Stegostoma tigrinum: one gene and its partners. The protein of the gene in region 3 interacts with the protein of the main gene of each other region in a pairwise test. Links are inferred from orthologs where the notes say so. Each region holds a gene or a part of one and is shown on either strand. Other genes may lie near its edges. The genes, in order: jade2, cobll1b and pacsin1b.

Region 1 (7,989 bases), on a different chromosome or scaffold from region 3:
GATATCATATATGAGTGCAGGAGACAAATATTCTTACTCATAAGTGTGAAATTCAAGTATAGCAATCAAGGTTTTTTTATAGATGCAATTTTGCATATCAAGTAATGAATCTTTGCTTATGATAAGACGGTTGATATATTGAATTATAATGATGCATATTTTTGCGCGAAAACTAAAGTAAGAATGGAAGAAAAGGTAAAGTGGAGAACTACCGACCAGTTAGTTTGACATTAGTAGTGGGGAAAATATTACAATCTGTTTTAAAGAATGTGATAAGTAATATGTAAAAAATGATTAAATTGTGCAGTCAATGTGAAATTGCGAAAATGAAATCATGTTTGACAAATTTCTTGGATATGACACCTGACATTCATAAGGGAGAACCAGTGCATGTGGTTAATTTAGATTTTCAGAAGGCTTTGATAAGATCCCACACTGGAGGCTACTATATAAAATTAGGGCACGCGTGATTGAGAGAAAATACACTAGTAAGGATCAAAAATTGTTTAGCAGACAGAAAGAGAGAGTAGAAATAATCAAATCATTCGCAGAATGGCAGGCTGTTACTTATGTTGGAGCACAAAGACTAGAGCTAGATTCACAGCTATTCATAATCTGTCAAAATGATTTGGATGTGAGGGACAATCATAATATTTCTAAATTTATTGATGATACTAAAATCAGTGGGATCATCAGTTGTGAGGAGGGATGTAAGGAGGTTTCAAGAAAAAATGAACAGGCTGGGTGAATAGACTAGAGCATTTATAATGTGAATAAGCAAGATGCTATTCACTTTGGTAGAAAGAATATAAAAGAAGAATATTTCTTAAATGCTGAGGAGTTGGGAATTAGGGTGTCCAAAGGAACCTCGGCTTCCTTATTGATGAGTCACTAAACTTTGACATGCAGGTGCAGAAATCTATTAAGGAGGCGAACACCAGGTAAACCAGCATCAAAAGGGGATTTGAGTGCAAGCAGTAAAGATGTCTTGTTGCAGTTTTATAGAGCTCACACTTGAAGCATTGTGTCATTTTAGTTGCTTTTCCTAAGAAGGGATATATTTGTTCTAGATGGAGTGCAAGGGAGCATCAACTTAATCTCTGGGGTGTGTTGTGAGGAAAGATTGAGGGGATTGGGTCTATATTCACTCAAGCTTTGAAGAATAGGGAGAGATCTCATTGAAATTTGCAAAATACAGGGAGTGGGAGGATGGATGTACATAAAATGTTTCCCTGGACTGCTGAGTCAAGAAACCTGTAACAACACCTCAGGATGAATAGTAGGCTATTTGAACTGAAATGACAAGGAACTTCTTCACTTTGGAATCCTCTAAACTAGAGGATTGTGGAAATTCAATCATTGAGCATGTTTAATATGAAATGCAATAGACTTCTGCAGACGAATGATGTCAAGAGTTATGGAAGATATGCGGGAAAATGGCATTCAGATTGATGATCAACCATGATCTAGCTGAATGGCAGAACAGCCTCCATGAGTTAAATGGCCTACTCTTGTTTCTATGTGACCCTTTGTAGTCAAACAATTTAACTTCTGTCAGTATGAGGGCAAGGTTAATTAGTACTCCATTTCATTTTGAGGAAGTGAAATTATAAATTGTAAGCTTCTTGAAAATTTCAGGCTTCAGGCCAGAATTCTGCATGTTTTTCCTTTTTAAGTAAGTGTATCGCCAAAGTCAGTCAGAAGTTGCAGATGTTTAGAACTTTAGTATGGAAAGGCATTTTATGATGTCACAAGCTTTGCAAGTGACTTGCTTTGTTCCTGATGAGAATTATGGAGGAATTTGTATTCTGCTGGGTGATACAGACAAAGTATATACTAGACACATCATTTTTATTGGTGTATTTTCTCTAATGAGTTACTGAAGGTTCTGACGGAAAGTCAGAGAAAACAATGTTTTATAAGGATGGAAGCATTATATTTAATAAAAACATGATATACGATTCTCGCAGGCACGTAAGTTAATATTCTTTTAAGGTTGCAAAGTCAAATTTTGCTATTTAAACACTGGGAAATGAAGAGGACAATTGAGAGGCTGCTACTGAATGAACGGCACTGCAGCTGCTGGTTTCAATATTCTGTGCCCTTATCTTTAAACTTGTTTACAAGATAGAACTTAATCTTGAGACAAGCCACAAGAGGTTCAGGGCGACACTTAAGGTGTAATGGACTAGAATTGAATGCTATACTGTTACATAATTCAACAAGCTAAAGAGTGATATGGTTCAGATGCTATATTTTATCCTAAAGGATATTGATAAATGTACCAAAGTTAAATCACAGTGTGTACATTGATAAAAAATAAAACAATTTGACTTGCATTAACTAAACTAAGCTGAATCCACAACTTGTAAATTTCATATGGAATATCTGCAGATGCAGATGTTTTCCATACAACTATCAATACAACTATTTAGAAACAAATGTTTTCTGACTATTGTAGTATTATTTATATATATATTCAGACTTGTGGTTTATTTCCTTGAATAGATCTATGAAAGTTTGGAAACAGCATATCACAGATATTTGGGACTACCCGGCGGTGTAGTAAAACTATTATCTAAAGAGCATTGTAGTGTCTTTTTCCAGGCCGTACTGTCATTTAAAATCAAAATCCTTGACTGCCTCACACACAATAGAAGGAAGCTTCTCTCAGTGCACTTGAATGAAAGAGACGCTGCATCTCACTTTGAGGGCGAACAAGTCTCTAGGTTGTTGAATACTATGAAGCAATGGAACTAACCATTATTGCGTACACATAATAGATAGATAATAAACTGAAGTCCGTAAAGGAAACACGTTTCTCCAGTGGAGTCACACTGTCTGCATCTTTCCTGTACTCTATCTATTTAAAATAATGAAACAGTCAATAAAACTTTCGGAACTTGTTGAGTTTGTACAAGGAAAGAGACACGTGATGGATTTACATTATTTCTCCACTCAATTATGATTAGATTTCCATGCAGTTATCCTGCACTAAGCTTTAGTGTTCATGGTCGCACAATTCACTTGTTTATAACATCATCTTCAGAAATATGTTTGACTACGTAATAGCATCAATGACGAGTTAACAAAAATTTGAAATTTAACAAATTGGAACATCCTTCCTTAAAAGAAAGTGGCCATTTGACCTCAAGGACGCACTTCAGTGCAAGGTGGTTGATAACTTTACTTCTGCCTAAATGACCTCGGAGATTAATCTCCAGAGTGGGGACAATACATTCCAGATCTGCTAATTGTACCCTGTACTTTAATGTTCAGTAATTTTGCATGTGTCAAAAATCTCCACCGTGAAGAGTAAGGCGTTCTCATTGCAACACCTCTGGACAATTTAAATATTTTTTTTGAAAAATTGCATGCAGTCGCTGGGAGGAAACTGACATTTGATAAGAGCAAAACAAGATGTTTTACAAAAAAAAGGCGTGCATCTCTCGCTCTCCCCCTCCTCTTCGCACGCCTCTAATGAGTTTCCCCTGTCTTTGGTACGTTGCAACATTTAAGTAAAAGACGCCGGCTTTGACGCAGGGAGATCGTGTCTTTTTTTCCAAGAGGCAATTTTAAGTACGTCATTAATATGGCGCCAAAAGATTTTGAAGTATGAGCTATTTCGTTGCTAGGTCCTGTCGTGTACGCCCGTGCCAAAAAAAAAGAAAAAGAAATCCCTGGCTTTTCTGGAGGTAAATTTCCCAAAGTGAGTCTAGCTCGTCCTGAGATCTGAGGTCCAACCTCCCTCATCTCCTCTTTTATTTTTTTAAACATTCAAATTATCCGGAAAGGGATCGTACTGCACATACACACAAAATAAAACCCAAGAAGGGGAAGATAAGAGAGAGAGAGAAATAAGTAGCAAAGCAAAAGAAAAAGAAACCCCACACAAGATGCAGTTTGCAAAACAAAAAAAGAGAAAAAATCCGGATCGGGGCGAAAGGATCTGAAACGCAACAGGACTGCGTTAAAGTGATCTGAAAAGGTGGGAATGAGAGAGAGAGCAGAACAGAGCAGCGGAGCTGCAAACTGTGTGTGTATGTGTGTGTGTGTCTCTCTGTGTGTATGTGAGAGAGCGCCCATTGCATTTCATTGGCAGCCATCTCAGCCCTGTGTAACTGCATGTTTTTTTTTAACAGCGAGGGAGGGAAGGGGAAGGGGAGGGGGCAGAGACAGAGGGAGGGAGGGAGAGAGAGAGATTTAAATGTATTAATGGGCAATTGGATCGATGTGCGTTTCCTCCTGCGCTGCTTTTAACATATATCAGCACCATCGCATTCACATTACAACACCATCATCACCATCGTGGCCTGAGGACAGTCACCGCAAAAAAAGAAGCATATAGATCCGAAGCTTAAGCAGGCAAAAAAAATTGCATGGTAATTATTATTGATCGTTTCTAAGTAGAGAGAGCTAAGTAACTGTTTGGATTTTTGGAAGGAGGGGGGTGTGAATACAGTGGGTTTGATCTGCACCCCACGCATACAAATTTCCTTATTTTTTTCCCTGTCTACTTATTTTGGGGACCAGAAGTGCAAGGCTTAACTTTTTTTTCCTCTCTCTCCCCTGATATCATATCGCTGTTCCGTGTAACCAGTTACTGCAGTCCAGGACTCTTTAAAAAAATGTTTACATATTTTTGCACCCCAGGCTGGGAAGGAAGGAAGGAAGGGATGTGGTAGGGGTGCTTGCTGTTTCTTTTTTGAGAGAGATGTAGATTCTTGGGTGGGGGGGTGGAGTGTAAAGTGTTGTGTGTGAGGGGGGGTGGGATGAACATTGAAATGTTTTATTTTCACAAAATGCATCGTCTTTATTGAGTTACATCATTTTGAATTGGAGTGATTGGGGACGCTGTGTGTGTGTGTATGTTGGGACTACCGTTTGCAACGTAGGAGCTGTGTTTTTTAAAAAAATAATACGTTTAATACATGCTCTCGCTGTGTGTACATGTAGGTTCCTGAGTGCAAACTGCGCTGCTGACTCTAGGGGGAGTGGCTGTTGTTTATCCCGAATTCATTGCGCTCAGGTTCACCGGGGGAGGCGTGGCACGTCCAATTTCACCCCCCCCTTTCTCCACTAACCCCCCCCTCGCTTCCAGCAGCAACAATAACAACAACAACATCCACCCACCGAACAGAGAGAAGGCAAAGCCAAAGGCAGATGAAAAAAAGTTGCTGGATTCTACAGGCAGGTATAACTTCCACAGCACGCATCAAAACTTGGTCAGCGCCTAATTCCCCCAACCCCATCCCCCTTTCTAATTCCCATCCAAACTCTTTCCAACCCCCTCCCCCCTTTAAAAACTCTGCTGGATGCACAACTTTTTTTTCTCCCCCAAATGACAGATGCACACGTGTGGTTGCCTGATGCCGAGTGGCAATCACTTGACCTGTAGCTGCATCACGCACTGGGCGCAAACCCACAGACTGAGGAAGAGGAGGGACCGTTGACCTATATTAACTCACTCTATACTGGCAGCTTTTTAATTTGATTATGGGGGAGGGGCGTGTTGGACAACTTCCATTATCTTAATTTGCAAAATATGCAAGCAGTGAAACATAAGTGATGAAAATATTCTCCCCCCCCCCCCCCCGAACAGTGTGAAAGCCAGTTGAAGGATTGAGAACCTGATTGTTCGCGTGCAAAACTGAATTGTACTCCAAGGGAATAGAAGGACCGTCACAACGCAATACAATTTGTCTGTGAAAGGTCACTTCTTTTAATTGGAAGAGGAAGATCAATTGTCTAACGTGCAAAATGTTTTGAATATTTCGCACTACATCACCCACAGGCAAAATTAGAAGTGGTTGTAATTCTTTTGGAAATAATTTAATCATTTTGTCTTTATGATAAGAAAGCTTAGTGTTTTCACGAGCTGTGTTTGCAAACAACTTGGGTTTTAAGCCAGTGAATTAAGTTTCTGAAGTTTATTTGCTATAGTCATAATATGCTTCAGGATTTGTGTCAACCTTTTGCTTTACAAAGTATATAAATGTGGAGAGGGAAATGTGACAGTTGCACTGTGGTTCCCCTCCCCCTTTGAACATCTCTTGGCTGTGCATTACTTGCAAACTGGTGTTCTTGTGGTTTTTGTATTGTGTTCCTCCCTTGCTACATTGCTTTGGTGAAGGGCAAAGACATTTTCATTAAAAACTGTGCCACATGTGAGTTAAAAGGCAGTGGAAACTGTAGAGGTCAGTATTATGTCTGAGACTACTTTGAGATGTGATATGCAAGTATTGTATATTGATGAGCTGTCTATAATAATCAGCTGCTGTATTCGTTACAAAGTCCTTTATTTGTTTATGAGCAGGAGGCTAAAAGGGGCGCTTTTGTCCGTTGCTTGTAGTCCTTGTCTCCCTGCTTTGATTTGAAATGAATTGTATTGGATTGATGATGTTTGGATAATGTGTTAAGTGACATGGTGGCATAATGTGTTGGACTATTTAAGTTCAAGTCCAATACAAGTTTGATGTTTTGCAGATCTTTCTGATTTCAGTTACGTTGTTGTGGGGAATTGATACTGGAAAAAGCAAAAAAAAAGTGTCAAGGGCCCATGCCTGCAGAAAGCAGAAGGTCCTTATGCAAATACAGGGCCTAATGCCTGCTTGTGACATTGTTATGTTGCCAAAATGCAGCCTGCATTGGGCTGGCAATACTCTGGAAAATCAGGTTTACTTATAGACTTAGCAATAGGTCTTTTAAAGCACCAGTACAAGTTACCACTAAAATGCTTTATAAAAGTACACTTGGTAATGTGCAGCTCAATATAAGGTGCTATCTTCAAATAATGAGCGGTTGCTTGCAAAGTTCACCTTCTCACCCCAGATTGTGACCACATTACCTTCTCCTGCAGCAACATTTCAACCTCACTGCCTGTAAGTGAATTTCTGTCCTAATATTGTTCCAGGGTGGTTTCTGCACACCTCCTAGTGGTGGATTTTAGACTAATATTATTGGAAGGCATGAAACGCATAGTCTTCCTGCTCTTATGCCCAAAATTAATCTTGACCGGAGGGGATTGAGAGAGGAAAATGCAACAAAATAGGATAATTTGCTGTCAAATAATGAGTTTGTGATTGATATGAAAGTCCACATAGTAAGTGTGTACAGCTGTGGAAATCTGTGGATTTTAAGTAAGTCTTGTTTTCTGTGGACCATTTTGGAATTATAATCTATGGATGAATTCACTGCTGCCAGAGGAGCCTGTAAATAGAATTATTAAAAAATTAATTGTCAAAGCAGATAGCTAAATCAAACTTGTGTAAATCAACTGTAGTAGTGACCCTTATACTCAAAATTAGTAATTAATTCTGTGTTTACTGATTACTTAATCTTTTTATGTGCAATGGCATCACGACAGACACAACACTGTATAATGTTAGTTACACAACTGCTCAGGCTTCTGAATGAATTAATCTTCAGATGTGGGTTACTCTGGTACTCTTGTATTTGGTGCTCATTCCTAGTAGCATTGAGAAGTTCACATCGAGTCACCAGTTTGCCTCTGATTCCCTGTGTAGGTAGGTGGTCCTTGAATGATGTTGGGTAGAGAATTCCAGGACATTGACTTAGTGACAATTATGATATAAATTACAAGGGTGAGTGAGTTGGAGGGAATCTTGGATATGGTTATAATGCTTATGAGGTATTGTTCTTTGTGGTGAACCAGGGAAGGAAGTAATCCTGGTGATTTGAAGAGTGCATTCTGTAGATTGTGCTTGTTGCAATCATAGTCCACCAGTATTGGAGCCATGAATATTGAGCCCAGGAGAAAGGACGCCACTGCCTTCTTGAACTGCAGCAGCCCTTTGGATGTGGGGACACCAGTAGTACTGTTAGGAAGGAAGTTTCAGGATTTTGACCCATGTACGTTAGAGTAATTGTGATTATAGTTCAGAGTCAGTATGGTACATGGCTTGGAGAGGAACTTGCAGCTGGTAGTCTGGCCAGGCTTTTGCTACCCTCGTTCTTTTAGGTGGTGGA
Region 2 (7,989 bases), on a different chromosome or scaffold from region 3:
CTAACAGTGAGAGTGCAGGAAGAGAATCCATTACTGGAGATGCCATGGCTACGAAATAGATCGGTAGTGCGAAATCAAGCAAAGATAGTGAGTTAGACAACAAAAAATCCTGTTGGAGGAGGATGAAACACCACAGTATGGAGCTGGAGGAACACAGCAAGCCAGGCAGCACCAGACACTAGGATGTCACTTTTGATGTTGACTGAGGTCATTTATGTCCCAAGACAGTGATTCGAAAAAAGTATCCTGGAGTAACAAGAAAGTTGATTATTAACTTAACAGGCAAAACCACATTTAAGGACTCCAATGATGACAGTTTCAAAGACTAAATGATTGAAGATGAGTTTTAAAATGATGAGAAATCCTGACAGGAAAAAAGTAAATGGGACACGAGAAGATGGAATCACTTGCACAAGACGTAAGAACAGAAGTCGAGTTTCAGTAGTTTAGTGGAAAGAGAATCAAAAGAAGCAGGAGGCAGATCTAGTGTTCAAGATAAGTTCAACAAGGGCGTGAAAGGAGATGGAAAAAGAATTAGAGTGGAGGGACCAAAGATAGGTCAAAAGAAGGTTGGCAGTTTATCTTAACAGCAATTTGCAGATGGGAAAAGCAGAAGTAACAAAAAGAATATTTTCAGTCATTGTAACAAAGCTATCTATTAAGTCCTCACATTTATTAGAGGAAAACCTGAAAGAGGCAACGGAGAGGGTTTTAGGAGATGGCTGGCAGCAAAAGAAAAGTTTACTATTGACTCTCTAAGGAGGACAATTTCGGCAAAACGGAACTTGATACGGACCAGCTAGGTCTGGTGGTGGCTAGTTAAAATAGTTGAGCACTGAATTATTGTCCCTTGTCGTTGAAGCAAATGATAGTCATTCCAAAGGCAACAACCAGATGAAAGTAAAGGTACACAGCAGGCCAGGCAGCATTAGAGAAGCAGGAAAGTCAAAGGGTCCCAAGCCTGGCCTACTGAGTACCGCCAACTCCATACTGTTATCTTTGACTCCAGTATCTGCAGTTCTTGCTATCTTTGAACCAGATGGAAGTGAACATGTTTTAATTGGGAATAAGATCAAAGGCAAATGTAGAAAATATTTAGCAAATCAGCAGCTATACAACTTTTTACAAAATGTGTTAATGGGATTTGTGCACCAATGGTAAGCCAGGACTTTTGTCTATTACAAATTGCCCTCAAAATGGCTGTGGTGAGTTGCCCTCTTGACAACAGAAGTCATGAGGTTGTAGGTATGCCCCCTATTCAATTACAAGGGGAGTTCCAGGATATTGACTCCACAACAGTCAAAGTGCAGTAAAATAGCTCCAAAGCAATATGTGTGTTTGAGAGAAGGTTTTAAGTAGCAATATTCCCATGCATTTATTGCCACTGTTCTCCTAAGAAGTGGAGTTTATAGCTTAGAAGGTGCTGTCTAAGACTCAGTGAGTTTCTGCAGTGTATCATACAGATGGCACAAACTGCTCCACTCCATGCTTATGGCAAAGAAAGTGAATGTTCAGGGTGGCAGACAAGGGAGACCAATAAACAGTGCTTCTTTTTCTTGCTAGACAGTGTTGGATTTCTTCAGTATTATACAATCTCAACAATCCAAATAAGTACAGGGCATTCCATAACACTCCTTTCTTGTGAATTAACTCACCGCAACATTCAGAATCATTGCCCTGCTTTTGCAGCTGTATTACTTATACAGCTAGTCCAGTTCTTGTTCTAGTCAATGGAACCCCCAACATACTATTAATGTTGATAGTATGGATTCAGTGTAATATGTAATTTATTGTCATACAGTCTGTTTCCATGATGAATGATTCTTCGGTCCAACCAGTCCATGCTGACCATAATCCCAAAATAAACTCATCCCACCTGCCTGTGTTTGACCCATATCTGCCCAAACATTTCTTATTCATGTGCCTATCTAAATGTCTTTTAAATGTTATAACTGTATCCACATCCACCACTTCATCTGGAAGGTCATTCCACACATAAATCACTGTGTGTTAAAAATCTGCCCCTCATGTCCGTTTATAAAATCTTTCGCTTCTCACCTTATAAATATGACCTCTAGCCTTACTGTTCCACTCCTGGGAAAAGACAACTGCCATTCACCTTATCTATGCCCTTCATGATTTTATAAACCCCTACAAAGTGTACCCTCAACGTCCTACACTCCAGTGAAAAAAAGTCCCAGCCTATTCAGCGTCTCCTTATAACTGAATCCTGCCATTCCCAGCAAAATCCTGGTAAATCCCCTCTGAACCCTCTCCAGCTTAATGACATCCTTCCTGTAACAGGGTAGCAAGAACTGGGCATAGTACTCCAGATGTCCCACTAACATGTTGTACAGCCTCAACATAACGCCCCAACTCCTTTACTCAAACAGAGATGGTCAATGACTGGTACTTGTGGGAAGTCACATAAGTGCCACGCATCAGCCCAAGCCTGATGTAATCCAGGTTTTAATGCACATGGATATGGGTTACTGTATGGTAATAACAAGAGGCAAATGAGTTTGAATACTGTGCCGTGAACATGTCCAATTCTGACCTTGGATAAGGGAAGGTAATTGATGAAGAAACCGAAGAGGGTGCAGGGAAAGCAACTCATATTCCACTTGGGAACCCTGTAGCCCAATGGTATCAATGTGGATTTCACAAGCTTCAACATCTCCCCTCCTCCCACTGCATCCCAACCCCAGCCCAGCTCGTCCCCACCTCCCTAACCCATTCATCCTCTCACCTATCGCCTCCTCCCGCCTCAAGCCGCACCTCCATTTCCTACCTACTAACCTCATCCTGCCCCCGTGACCTGTCCATCCTCCCTGGACTGACCAATCCCTTCCCTACCTCCCCAACTACACTCACCTCTATTGACTCCATCCCTGTCATTTTAACTTGTCTGTCTCCTCTCCCCTATCCATCTTCGATCCGCCTCACCCCCTCTCCCTCTCCCACTTTTCTAATGAAGGGTCTAGGCTCGAAATATCAGCTTTTGTGCTCCTAAGATGCTGGTTGGCCAGCTGTGTTCATCCAGCTTCACACTTTGTTATCTCAGATTCTCCAGCATCTGCAGTTCCCATTATCCAAGAAATTGAAGACGGCTGGTCACAGGGCACTCACCTGAGGAACTCCCACTGTCACGTCCTGTGAAAGAGTATTAACCTGCAATAACAACAACCATCTTCCTTTGTACTAGCAATAACTTTCAACATTTTTTGAAACCAGGACTCATACTTGACATCCAATTCTTGGGTGCAATTTTTGCAGAATTGTGAGAAATTATAGCAAATGCCTTTGCTGTTTTTGCTTCACTTTCTCTTAGCAGTTATAAATCATCGGGATTTTGTCATTTATCCACACGAAAAGAAAGACTTACATATATGTGGCCTTTTTATGACCTCAAGGCACCTAACATTTTACACCTAATTAAGAACTTTTGAGGTGTAATTAGCCTTTCAATGTCATATTAAATGGATAATTTATTTAATAACATTTCTTAAATGATAGCCTACGTTACCATGCTAAACCTAACTCTTGTGGGTTGACTTTTCCAAAGTTTTTCTATCCCCCAATCACTGAAGCCCAACATTAAGCAAACATTCCGTATCTTTTGCCATTATCACAATTTCTCTGCAAGTCTGTCACGTTCTCTTTTACTGTTTCTACTTCGACGTGTGCCTATAGAAACTCTGGTCTTGCCTTCTATGAGTTGCTGATTTTCTTGCGTCTCTCTTTCTCAGATGGAATCGCCCTTTTTTTGTGATATGCCCCTGCTCTGCGAAGGAGTTATGGAACCAGGCGGCTTCAGTGAGTAAGCCATGTTTTCTAGTGCTTCCATGAGACAAATTGTAAATAGAAAGGAGACGTTATTTGCATTATCTCTTCGTGTGGAGGCCAAAATCTTCAAAAGGGGCAGTAATTTCATGACAGCTAAACTTGATGAATGTAAATGAAATTAGATGCAATACTCACCCTGAAGAAGGCAGAGTTGCAGTCCCAGACTCTGATACTTGCATTTCCATCGTTCTCAGTTTTTACAACAGTTCTCTTCTAACTTTCTCGTCAGCTGACTCCTTTTTGCCTTTCCTCGTTCGACTGTAAAGTAACAGCAAGAACCGAAGCAACGTTGAAGACAAAGCGATGTGAAAATGATTTCGGGTATTCGCGGCGTAGGACACTGCAGAAAGCTGGATTTGATCAACGCCAATGTGCGTGGATTTCCCCTTTCCCCTCCTCCTCCTCCTCCACAAACCTTAAAATGTGCAGGATTTGGTTCGCGATTTCGCGAACCTCTCTATTTCTCTCCCCTTCTCTGTGAGGGTTATGATCCAGCCCAGCTTTTGCCCAGTCTCCAGCGTAAACGGCTCAACTTAAGCGCGGCGCCGATCGCTCCCGCTCTACTTTCGCAAACACAAACATTTTCAAGCTATGACATGTGTGAGAACTTGCCCTCTCCACATCAAACTTTCCACGCTGTGTGTCTGCTCGATCCCGGACACGGCGGTTTCAACATACCCCTCCCCCACTGTCCTGCTTCCTCAGCACTCGGTTTCGCATAGATTGGACCCAATTGCACACCAGCACCCAACTCTTTAGCAAAGTGCTATTTGCGTACAACTACACACAAGTGGTTTTGTTTCCCTGGTTTAAGCTTCTGTTGGCTTGAGCTGCGCATCTCAATTCTTGCCACTAGGATGCGAGAGCTATCGTGCCAGGATTGAAGGTTCCACCTGCAATTAAAGCAGAACCGAACCCTGCCAGATTTTCAGTATATTGATCTTTAAAAAAAAATGTACGTCCCAGGCAACGATCCGTCCGAGCCTTTATTTATTTTCCCACTCTGTCCAGCCATCTTGCCAAACATGTCGAAATGCCTGTTTTGCGTTTTGATTTACATTTGATCGCAAGTCCCAACATTTTCACTTGGAATTCAAACGCATTTTTTTTAGTGCAACTAGGCTTTTGCGACCAACACCTTTTAACCTTTTCTACAGACCAACCGAGGTTGTTCAGCAGCTGTGTGGTGTGGGAAGACACATCGGTACTCTACCTATCCCTAAACCGGGAGGCCTAGGTTCGAGCCCCACCTGTTCCAAAGGTGCGTAATAACATCTCTTAGAAACAATGGGTTAACAGCACAGTTCGTGGGGATTCATGCAGTGCGGTGGCAGTGTCCCTGCCTTTGAGTTGGGAGGCTCAGGTTCAAGGCCCAGAAGTGTTATAACGTTTCTGAACAAGTTGATTAGGAAAAATAATAGGATAAATGGACAATTTCACTGATACCCTAGTGGCACCCTTAACATTTAAGAACTTTTAAAACAAATTGGACTTTGGTCTCGTTTTATATTGTTAACGTTTGACGTTAAAAGAAGTGTAAGAACTCTAAACAATTCCTTACAGTACTGTAATTTTTATTTCCTCACCATTGCTTAACTTTGAGCGAAAATGAACACTGGCCACACACGGTTGTTGCTTCGTAGGAAGGTAGACATCTAGTGAAGTTATCAACGCTGCAATCTGGTGTGACTCGACTCACGGAAATTTGGGAAGACCCGACTTCTGTTCACTCCCAGCTGCGCTTTATCGAAGTTGGGGGAGAAAGGTGTCCAGCGTGTTTAAACACCTGCATTTCTCTGCATTTTCCTTTATCTAGCCACTCCTTCTTTTGAAAGAATGTGCTTCTCTTGTGAATGCGATCATTTGATACAGTGCGAGTTCTTTCAACTAGTCAGTTTCTGCAGTTTGACCTATGAAAACTGATTAGTTAGGCTCAGATTTCCTAAGAATTCACCGGGAGTTTGAACAGCAGGAAGTTGTTCACGGAGTCGTGACACATAACCCCGCTTGGATTTCGTGTTAACGAAGAAAAAGTTTATTTTCAATTGATTACTGAATTAGTTGAAGTCACAATATTTCCGACGAGACCTTACTGCGAAATAGCAATTTGATATAATTTTGAAGTTTTTTTTTGCTCTGTTGTCAAACACATTACTAAAGACTACTCCGCCCAAAACTAATCCCTTGATACTACGGCCTCCCGATGCCGCAGCAATTCTATCCGTTTGGGACGCGTACTTTTCTGATCTTAATCTCTACCTCGTGGCAGAAGCGTGTAACTGCAGCTATGGCCGTGTCTGTCACCTGCAGATAGAAGTAATTCCAAGGTGAGGGCCAAACCATGAGAGATTCAGTGACATGTTGATGTATTGGTTGGGGAGTCGGTGGTGTAGCAGTAATATCGCCCGACTAGCAATCCAGAAGCCCAAGGTGATAAAATGGATAAAGTTGTGGAGTTTAAATGTAATTGCTAGACCTGGAATGTAAATCAAGTCTCAATAATGCTGACCTTGAAACGGTGATGAACTATTATAAAAGCCCACTCGGTTTACTAATGATCTTTAGTGAAGAAAATCAGCTAATTTTACCCAGTCTGGGCATGTAAGACTCCAGACATACAGTAATGTGGTAGAATGTAGTTAGCACTGAGGGTAGTTAGCCCTCTAAAACAATAAGCCACTTAGTTTATATGACACTTAGGAATTGGCCACAAATGTTGTCCTGGCTAGTGGCATCTACACAGAATAAAGTTCTTAGAAGGTATGTGAAAGCATTGGTGAGCACAGAAGATATTTACATTAATGGTTCCAGTGATGAAGAATCTTCAACTATAATGACAGATCGGAGAGGGTGGGTTTGTTCTGTTTTCACAGAAGAAGGCTAAGAGATCTGATACGTGTTTTCAAAATAATGGGGGATCAGATAGAGACAAATTGTTCCCACTTGTAAAAGATCAAGAGAGCTAGTGCAGACATGAAGGGCTGAATAGTCTTCTACACCATAGCACTTATGTGGTAATGTGACATGTAATGGGTGCAAAGTTCAAATATGTGTAGATTGGAGATCATGTATAGACATGCTTGGTGCTTTGCATGGGTCACATAATCGTGCCAGCCATTGCTCACATGACAACCTATTACTGCAAAGGACATTGATGGGCATCCCCAATGCCCAATGGAAACCTCTCCAGTGATGAGGTCAAGGTGTCACTCAGCTCTATTTATGATTTTGTCGCATGCAGATCCTTTCAGTACACTTACTTATTACATAGCAAAATCGTGCTTTTGGGCCTAGCAGTAGTGATACTTAAAGTTCCAAGTTTCCAATTTACAGGTAAGATAAATCATTATATTGGTGGCTGTTGAAAACTTTGCAAGTGCGCAGGAATGTTTTTAGAATTGATTTGGTGAGTTCCTACAATTGACAGAAAGTGTTACTTTACTGTAGGGCAAAGAGCTTAGTCACCTGCTCATTCAAAGGCTGTTACATAACATGGGGATACAGTTCCAATGTCATTTGAAGTCAGTTCAATGGCATCTGATGGAGGAGACAGCATTCTGAAGGTAATCTGAAGTTAAGTGTTGATTCATCATGACAGGAGGTTTAGCCCTATACGTCTCAGTGTACATCCTCATTAGCACTCGCCTCTATGTTACTATCTAAAAGGCCTCATTTGACCCTCCTGTAGCAGATTTCAGTCGTGACCGTGACCTTCAGTTAGAGTTGACAAAAACACTATCCTTTTCCTTAGCCTGGCTGTGGCCCAGTTGTGCCTGACTCACCAAATGCAAATCCCTACTCTTTACTTGTATCCAAGATACATGCAATGCCACATCTGATAGTGGCTTTATGATTCAGAACAAATGCTGATGTTTCTTTCCTGTGCTGTTTCTTTTTTCTGAGTCGTTATGGCTGGGCTGTTGCAGGTTTTGGATATTTAAGAGCAAGAAATCAAAAAAGCAATCTGAACAGCTAGAGATAAATGAAACAGAGATTTCAATGTGGGGATGACGTTATTGGAATATATATGAGGGTGAGGAAAAGTATCTCGAAATCACGTCTGTGTCTTAAGTGTAGGAATTGCTGATCAGTGAGTGCTGGGGATGTAGTACCTTAAGCAACACAACAGATTGGTGAAGCATT
Region 3 (7,989 bases):
CAATGATGCCACCCGAAGGTTGCAGGAACAACAACTCATATTCCGCCTGGGAACCCTGCAGCCTAATGGTATCAATGTGGACTTGACCAGTTTCAAAAACTCCCCTTCCCCACCTGCATCCCTAAACCAGCCCAGTTCGTCCCCTCCCCCCACTGCATCCCAAAACCAGTCCAACCTGTCTCTGCCTCCCTAATCTGTTCTTCCTCTCACCCATCCCTTCCTCCCACCCCAAGCCGCACCCCCATCTACCTACTATACTTATCCCACCTCCTTGACCTGTCCGTCTTCCCTGGACTGACTTATCCCCTCCCTACGTCCCCACCTATCTTCGGTCCGCCTCCCCACCCCCCCCCCCCCCCATTTATTCCAGAACCCTCACCCCCATCCCCCTCTCTGATGAAGGGTCTAGGCCCGAAACGTCAGCTTTTGTGCTTCTGAGATGCTGCTTGGCCAGCTGTGTTCATCCAGCCTCACATTTTATTATCTTGGATTCTCCAGCATCTGCAGTTCCCATTATCTCTGCTACTGGTATTCACTGCTTTGTGAAACATATCCATTCAGTTTGTATGCACGACCTCAATCTTTTGGTTGCTTGTCATTTTAACCCACCTTGTTCCTGCTCTGATCCTTTTTCGAATCCTGTTACAGTGAGGCTCAATGCAAGTTTGAAGGGGAACTCTTTAGCCTTTGATTCAGTATTCCATTGCCTTCTGGACTGATCGTCAAGTTCGACAATCTGCCTTCATCTGGTTCTTCGTGCTCTTTCCTTTTTTGTTTTGTTTTATTGTTCAGTCTTAGCTTGTTTCTTTCTTTATCCCTTCATGTTGTATTCAAAATATCTACCACAGCCATTCGAGCCTCATCTGGACAAAACTTTTTTCTTCTGTAATATATCCATTACCACTTTCTTTGACTGTTGCATCATGAAAACTTTTGATATTTATTTGTTTTTTTTTAACACTATTACAGTCCTTCCCTTTGTTACTCCTGCCTCTTCCCCACTCCCATTGTTTTTAAAATTATTATATTTCTATCTTTGTTTCCAATGATGAATCATTATGACCTGAAATATTAGATCTGTTTCCCTCCACAGATGATGCCTGTCCTGCTGAATGTTTTCAGCACTTGTGTTTTTATTTCAGCTCTCAGTGTTTGGAATATTTTGCTATCTAGCAGGATCACATCAATATTTTTTCTCATAACACAAATTTCTAATGATTCTAATGTCAACCATGCAGTACAGACAGGAAAGCCTACAATCAGGTTATTTATCTATCCTTTGGGCAAGGAGTGATGTGGGCATAGAAGGAAAAAAAGGTTCATTTCAGTAACTATACCAGGAGAAAAGAATCAATTATGTCAGGCAGTTTTAATCAGGCTCTGCATCTCTATTTTAAATTTGTGGCTCTTCATGTCATATTGTTGTCCAATCAGAAAAAGGGCCATTACAAATCCAAAGTCAGTGAAATGTTTGACAGCAATTCAATTAAAACATTCCAATGACACTATATTCCATAACCTGAAGCTTAAACATATTATTGTTAACAATATTCTTGCATGTGGAGCGCAATTAATCGATTTCTTTTAAGTAAACAGCATTGACAGTAATCAGCAATAATGATCTTTATTAAAAAGTACTCAAGAGAACAAAATGGCACAAGATATTGGACTATTAAAAAGGAGAATTATGTAAGAGATTCCATAAGTTATTGGCAGGGATAATCGGTCATATCATTGCACAAGACAGATTGTTTTCATTAATGGGATTCTACCCAGTGTTCTGGAGATCACATTGAACGGCAATTGCATTTATCAAGCTCCCATAACAAGTATCAATGTGCCACAAGGAAAAGCTGACATTTTCTCTCCAATAAACACCCTTGGTTATCAGGTCAGGGTGGGTAATGCTGGCATAATCACTGCACTATAAATAGAGCACTGCAAACCAATGAATTCTACAACTGATCACTACAAAGAATTTAAAACAATTTGTTCAGAAACATTAAATTAACATCTGTTGGTTTAAAATTTGCACCACCTTTCATAGCTATCAAAGCCTAATCATGCATGACTATAAATAGAAAGGCACTGTCACAGTCAATATGTGATATTTATTCAACTGCAAATGTTTTCACTGGTGACTTCTTTCATTCTGCTCTTCCTTCATACAAAAAGAAAGCTCTTGTCTTTGTTTGCAGGTGCTAATGATGTATGGCATTATCTGAGGAAGATTCCTGAAGATATGTGTTCAATCTCACCCTTGTCAGCACCTGCATGGATACTGGCATCCCATGTATGTTACATTCTCGACAAGGGGAAGGTCTTCACATATTAAAATCACTGGCCAAAGCGTGAAGGGTGCCATTGGTATAGTTCACCAGAAAGAGAGATTGTATTTTAGCCTAGCTACATCATGAACTCATTTGCCAATGAGATTATCACCAATCCAAAAATAAGTGCAGTTCCATCAACTCCCAGGAGATCCAGGTTGCTGTGTGCCTGCTGCTGCCTGGAGAGTGGGCCAAGCAGTTCAGGTCAGAGTGCTCAAAGATGGTGACCAAGTACACCAGCTCCAAGTGAAACACCTCATTGCACTGAAAAATAAAGGGCTCAAAATGAAGCAATCAGTGAATTCTGAGGAACTTAGTCCAGGAAATTCTAGTTGCACTATGCAGTCTGCCAGCAAACTGGTGCACAAGGTCACAGTATACCGAAAAGTCATGCTCCAATCCATGTTATGTCTTTGCACAGAATGGAGAGTATTCTATCCAATATGGACAAAGTGCAAAGTCCATCAACTAGACACTGCTGCCCACCATCAAGGAATCTCTCCTGACAGCTCACAGTTGCACTGAAAGCTCACTTCTTCCTATCCAAATGGTGGTAAAGACAGATTACGGCAAAGTTACGCAACACGCAGCAGATAACTCTAATCTGGATACCCACTCAGGGATAATGCACAGGTCCTTCTAAATCGTCTGTGAAAACATTGTTTGAGCAGGTTGACTGCTTGGTCGTTAACATATTAAAGGAGTAAAATCTCTTTCATATGATACAACTGCTGGACAGGTAATGGGGGGCTGTAATGCAGATGAAACCTAGCACTCCCTCATACTCATTTTTCTACTCCAGGAGAAGAAAATATAAGTGTTTTCCCTGGTCTAGTGACCTCAGTTACCTTCCTGAACAGCGGTGAATGGCAACTTTAGGATTTGTTGTTTATGTCGTCTACTGCAATTGGAAAGGAGTCAATGGCATAAAAAGGGTGATGATCACCTTGGCAGACATAGGCAATGCTGCTCATGTATAGCTGAAATTATGACTGCAGCAAATGTTGTAACACACTGATAGCCTCCTCTGTTAACCAACAGCATCCCGCACATTGGTCCTCAATCTACCCAAGACAGAAGCTCTCTGAATACTTAGATAATAAAGTGTGAAGCTGGATGAACACAGCAGGCCAAGCAGCATCTCAGGAGCACAAAAGCTGACGTTTCAGGCCTAGACCCTTCATCAGAGAGGGGGATGGGGTGAGGGTTCTGGAATAAATAGGGAGAGAGGAGGAGGTGGACCGAAGATGGAGAGAAAAGTGTAGATGGGGAGGTTGGGAGGGGATAGATCAAGGAGGTGGGATGAGGTTAGTAGGTAGGGGTGGGGTGGGAGGAAGGGATGGGTGAGAGGAAGAACAGGTTAGGGAGGCAGAGACAGGATGTGCTGGTTTTGGGATGCAGTGGGGGGAGGGGAAGAGCTAGGCTGGTTGTGTGGTGCAGTGGGGGGAGGGGGCGAACTGGGCTTGTTTTGGGATGCAGTGGGGGAAGGGGAGATTTTGAAGCTGGTGAAGTCCACATTGATACCATTGGGCTGCAGGGTGCCCAAGTGGAATATGAGTTGCTGTTCCTGCAACCTTTGCATGGCATCATTGTGGCACTGCAGGAGGCCCATGATGGACATGTCATCTAAAGAACAGGAGGGCAGTGACAAGTGCCTCACTCTTCCTCCTCATGGCCTACAGCATCAAAAGGTGGAGGAAGAATCCAACTGAATAAATCAATAGCTACAGACACCAAAAAGGTAGACAGTTGGGATTCTGGGCAGGTGCAAGTGCAACAAGGGATAGATTTTTCCTCAGCATCTATAGAAGGTAGGATTGGGATGTGAAAGGGGTTGAGGTTAGCAAGTGACACAATGAAATAAATCAGAAATGGCTGAAACTGTTAGTGAAAATAAGCCAATTAGGTAACGTGAACAAATTATGTTAAATATCAGCATCAGCCACATGAATCAGACTTTCAAGTTTCTTCATGTGAATTATTCATTGGATTGGGAGGGGGAAAGCAGGGTTGCAGCTCTATATAATTAGATTGCAGTTCTGAAAGCAAGCAACATGAAAGATTAGTCTTCTTGCTGTATTTTCAACATTTCAGTTAGATTCCCATTTGAGCCTATATTTGTGCAGAAATATTCCCAGCATCCTACTATTTTGCAGAAATTTTCCCACTATATTTCCATTTGAGCTTATATTTGTGCATAAATATTCCCAGCATTTTCTAAGCGCCACTCACTGTCCTGGTGCTGCTCCAACAACATCCACCGAGAACTACAATTCCCAGGAGGCACGACTGCCCGAAACACCATCACTGCGCCCAAATGAAGTACTGTAATCGGGGATAAAAGTCTCCATGTTGGCCACAACACTGCAGCTCAGTAGTACCCCTGTGCAGAAGCACACACCAATCGTTCCCTTACCGCCACAACCACAACCGTTCCTTTAAATCAACGGTACTAACGGCTGACCCTCGAGACCCAGTTGGCCAACGCGCCCAATCTTTTATACCGATCGGGACAAAATACAATTTGCATTTATTAAGTATAATTTTTTTTAAAAATATCAAACTCGGCTATTCCTTCTAATTATTCGAGGATTTATTTAAGTCAGGGCAGCTAGCGCAGATTGCAATATTAAGGACCCTCGCCGAAGGAGGAAGAGGCTCCGAGTGCGCATGCTCGGTCTTTTCCGGCTTCAGCCCCATTATTAGAGTTCAAGGTATGTGAAGAAAGGCTGTCCAAAATCCTTAAATATCTCTAACATCCCGCTGGGGTGAACTTTCAAGACCTCAATGGTGGTTGACACGCGTCATCTGTATTTATTCACTCACTCATTTCTATAATTTCATAAGTATTTATTGAATAGTTTATAAAATACCTCCCAGTTGCTGCTGCAGTCTTGGTGATATAGAGAGGGTAGGCCTCAGGCTCTGTTAATTGACTGAATAAAAGTTACAGGAAGTTGTTTCTCTAGGATGTTGTGTAGTTTTAAAGGTGTCTGTTTTGTGCCGTTATAGTTAGTATTAAGTTAATATTTTATGCAAGCTTTCTGGTTTCCCCGAGGTGAAAGTGTTCCTCTTATACCGCTGTTTCAAAGATGAGTTCCTGTAATAGATGTTTGAGCGTAATATCGACGATACACATGGTGGAAAGGCACTGATGTTAAGAAGAAAACGCGATTAAGAGGAAGTTTACTGATTTCAGACCTGGAATTAGCAGTTTGTCTACTGAGGAACTTTGGACACGCTGAAATTATATCAACTAGAATTCAAGAGAGCAGAGGGTGATTTGATTCAAGCCTGTAGATCCTCAAGGGTCTTGACAAGGTGGAAAGAGAAAGGGTGGGTGATTCGGGAATGAGGGGACACTTTTAAAGTTAGGGTCATGTTCTTTACAGCAAGTAAGGGGAATTTTTTTACAGTGGATCTGTGATGGAATATTCTGCCTCAGGAAGTTGGAATTGTTGAAAATAATGATCAATCCACTGTCACTCTTATTAAGGAATAATAAAAGATAGAATTGTGGAATTTGGAATGCAGATCAGCTGTGAGCTTATTAATTGGCAATGCAGATTTGAAGGGCTGGCTGACCTACTTCTAAATTGTATGCTTGGAGTCGCTTTCTGAAGCTGCCTCTTGAGTAGCTTAAGTGTGATATTTCAAAAATGATTGTATTTTATCTTCAGATGTAACTAACAGAAATACATCTAAAGATAAGAACAATCTTTTGATTAATTTACTTTGTTTCAGCTTCATTATGAAACTGTTGGTTTGAAAGCTGTTTTCATCAGCAGTTTAGGTTGTGCCTCAACACTGGGCCTTTGGGCAGAGAGACTACCAAATTGTGGGAGGTCACATGTTCAATACAGAACCCAGGCTCCTGATCTGGGCTGGCCCCTTAAGAAGCCAAGCATATGCCCTACGCTGTCTCTAGCTGCCTTTACTGTTGACGTTCCTACAGAGATTGACATGTAGGTGTTGAAGAAAGACAACTTTGAAGAGGCATTTCACAATACGGACACCTTATGGTGGAATTTTGAAAGGGACAGGGAGGAGGGAGTCTAACTAGGACACTGAATTTTGTAAATCTTGTCTCTAATCAGTAATGACTAAATTTATAATTAGTAATAAGCCCCTTGTTGCTATTTCATTTTCTTAAAACAAACTTCAGAATTGTTCTATAGGCTGTCAGATGGAGGTTGTTATAAACAGGAGGGACTGAGTGTTCCAGGCCACAGATACTGTCAGCGTACTTCTGGATTACTCTTAACCAAAAATATAAGATAAATGTTGTAGTGAACGTGTGCATATTGGAAGAGAATCACCTAATATTAGGTTATGACCAAACTAGATCTTGTGAAATTCCAATGTTGAAGTCCCCTATTCTGTTTTATTTCAGATGCTGATGCCTAAGAAGAATCGTATTGCTATCTATGAGCTCCTCTTCAAGGAGGGGGTAATGGTAGCCAAGAAGGATGTGCATATGCCAAAACATCCAGAACTGGCAGACAAAAATGTCCCAAACCTGCACGTAATGAAAGCCATGCAGGTATCATATTTAAATAACTATGATTTATAAACAGTCTATAAATTTCGAAGAAACTTCATATCAACGTTATGAAACAAATTTGACACTGGCCTTTAGTTGATGAAATGGTAAGGCAGATGGCCAAAAACGTGTTTAGGGAGATAATGTTTAAAGGTGAATATTAAAAATGGAAAGTAAGCAGTATTGGGTGTGTGAAGGGTGTTTCAGAGTTTAGGATCTTGGCAGCTCAATACATGATCACTAATGGTGGAGAGACGGTAAGATTGGTCAGCATTCGAGAGTTGCAGTTGTCTCGCTGTTATAGATCTGGAGACCACAAAGATAGAGAGGGCTGCCGTCGATCAGAATGAAAGACAGGCCTCATTTTTACATACAGCTTCGGTCAGAAGTGCTGTGGGGTGATCCAACTTCCTGAAATCCCTGACATCACTGATGGGGGTCTTCAGCCAATTTGGTTCACTTCTTATGATATCAAGAAGGAGCTGAAAGCACTGCACGCCACTAAGGCTTTGGGCTCTGACAGCATTCTGGCAATAATACTGAGGATGTGCTCAAGCTAACTGCCTCAGCATGGCTGTTCCAGTAAAGGGACAGAGCTAGCAATTACCTAGTATGTGTAAACTTGCCTGGGTAGAGTCAGTTATTCTAGCCAATTATCACCTGTCAGGCTGCTCTCAAACTTCAGCAAAGGGTTAGACGGTATAGTCGACAAGCAGCAGTTACACAGCAGTGACCTACTTGCTGGTTCTCGGTTTTGGCTCCACCAAGGTCATACAGTTCCTGACCTCATTATAACTGTAATCCAAGCATTAACAAAAGAGCTGAATTTAAGAGGCGAGGTATGATTGACTGCCCTTGATATCAATGTAGTGTTTGACCAAGTGGCATTGAGGAGCCCTTGCTAAACAGGAATTTTGGGATGGTGGGGGTTTGGAGTCGGATACATAGATGATGATTGTGGTTATTGGAGGCTGTGTATCAAGTAACAAGGTGAGAAAATTCATAAAGCCAAAGTACAAAGGGATCTGGGGGTGCTAGTCCAGGATTCTCTAAAGGTTAACTAGCTGGTAAAGTCCATGATTAAGAAAGTGAATGTAATGTTGTCGTTTATCTCAA

Evidence for each region.
Region 1: the proteins of pacsin1b (region 3) and jade2 interact in a two-hybrid assay, tested with the Homo sapiens proteins (2 studies listed by BioGRID and IntAct). The link is inferred for Stegostoma tigrinum from reciprocal best matches to the Homo sapiens genes PACSIN1 and JADE2.
Region 2: the proteins of pacsin1b (region 3) and cobll1b interact in binary tests that used the Homo sapiens proteins (3 or more experiments, as listed by UniProt). The link is inferred for Stegostoma tigrinum from reciprocal best matches to the Homo sapiens genes PACSIN1 and COBLL1.

What each region holds. Positions count from the first base shown.
Region 1 is NC_081366.1:30,388,886-30,396,874, forward strand, and holds the start of jade2 (protein Jade-1), read left to right. Parts: upstream 1-3,605; 5' UTR 3,606-3,988; intron 3,989-4,228; exon of another isoform or gene 4,229-4,382; intron 4,383-5,111; exon of another isoform or gene 5,112-5,194; intron 5,195-7,989. UniProt on the Homo sapiens protein: Scaffold subunit of some HBO1 complexes, which have a histone H4 acetyltransferase activity. Acts as an E3 ubiquitin-protein ligase mediating the ubiquitination and subsequent proteasomal degradation of target protein histone demethylase KDM1A.
Region 2 is NC_081360.1:62,966,830-62,974,818, forward strand, and holds the start of cobll1b (cordon-bleu protein-like 1b), read right to left. Parts: upstream 5,820-7,989; 5' UTR 5,433-5,819; intron 4,738-5,432; exon of another isoform or gene 4,262-4,737; intron 4,105-4,261; 5' UTR 4,032-4,104; coding exon 3,982-4,031; intron 1-3,981.
Region 3 is NC_081374.1:38,803,731-38,811,719, forward strand, and holds the start of pacsin1b (protein kinase C and casein kinase substrate in neurons protein 1), read right to left. Parts: upstream 4,793-7,989; 5' UTR 4,563-4,792; intron 1-4,562. Other genes in the region: rps10 (40S ribosomal protein S10), read left to right, coding at 6,724-6,873. UniProt on the Homo sapiens protein: Plays a role in the reorganization of the microtubule cytoskeleton via its interaction with MAPT; this decreases microtubule stability and inhibits MAPT-induced microtubule polymerization.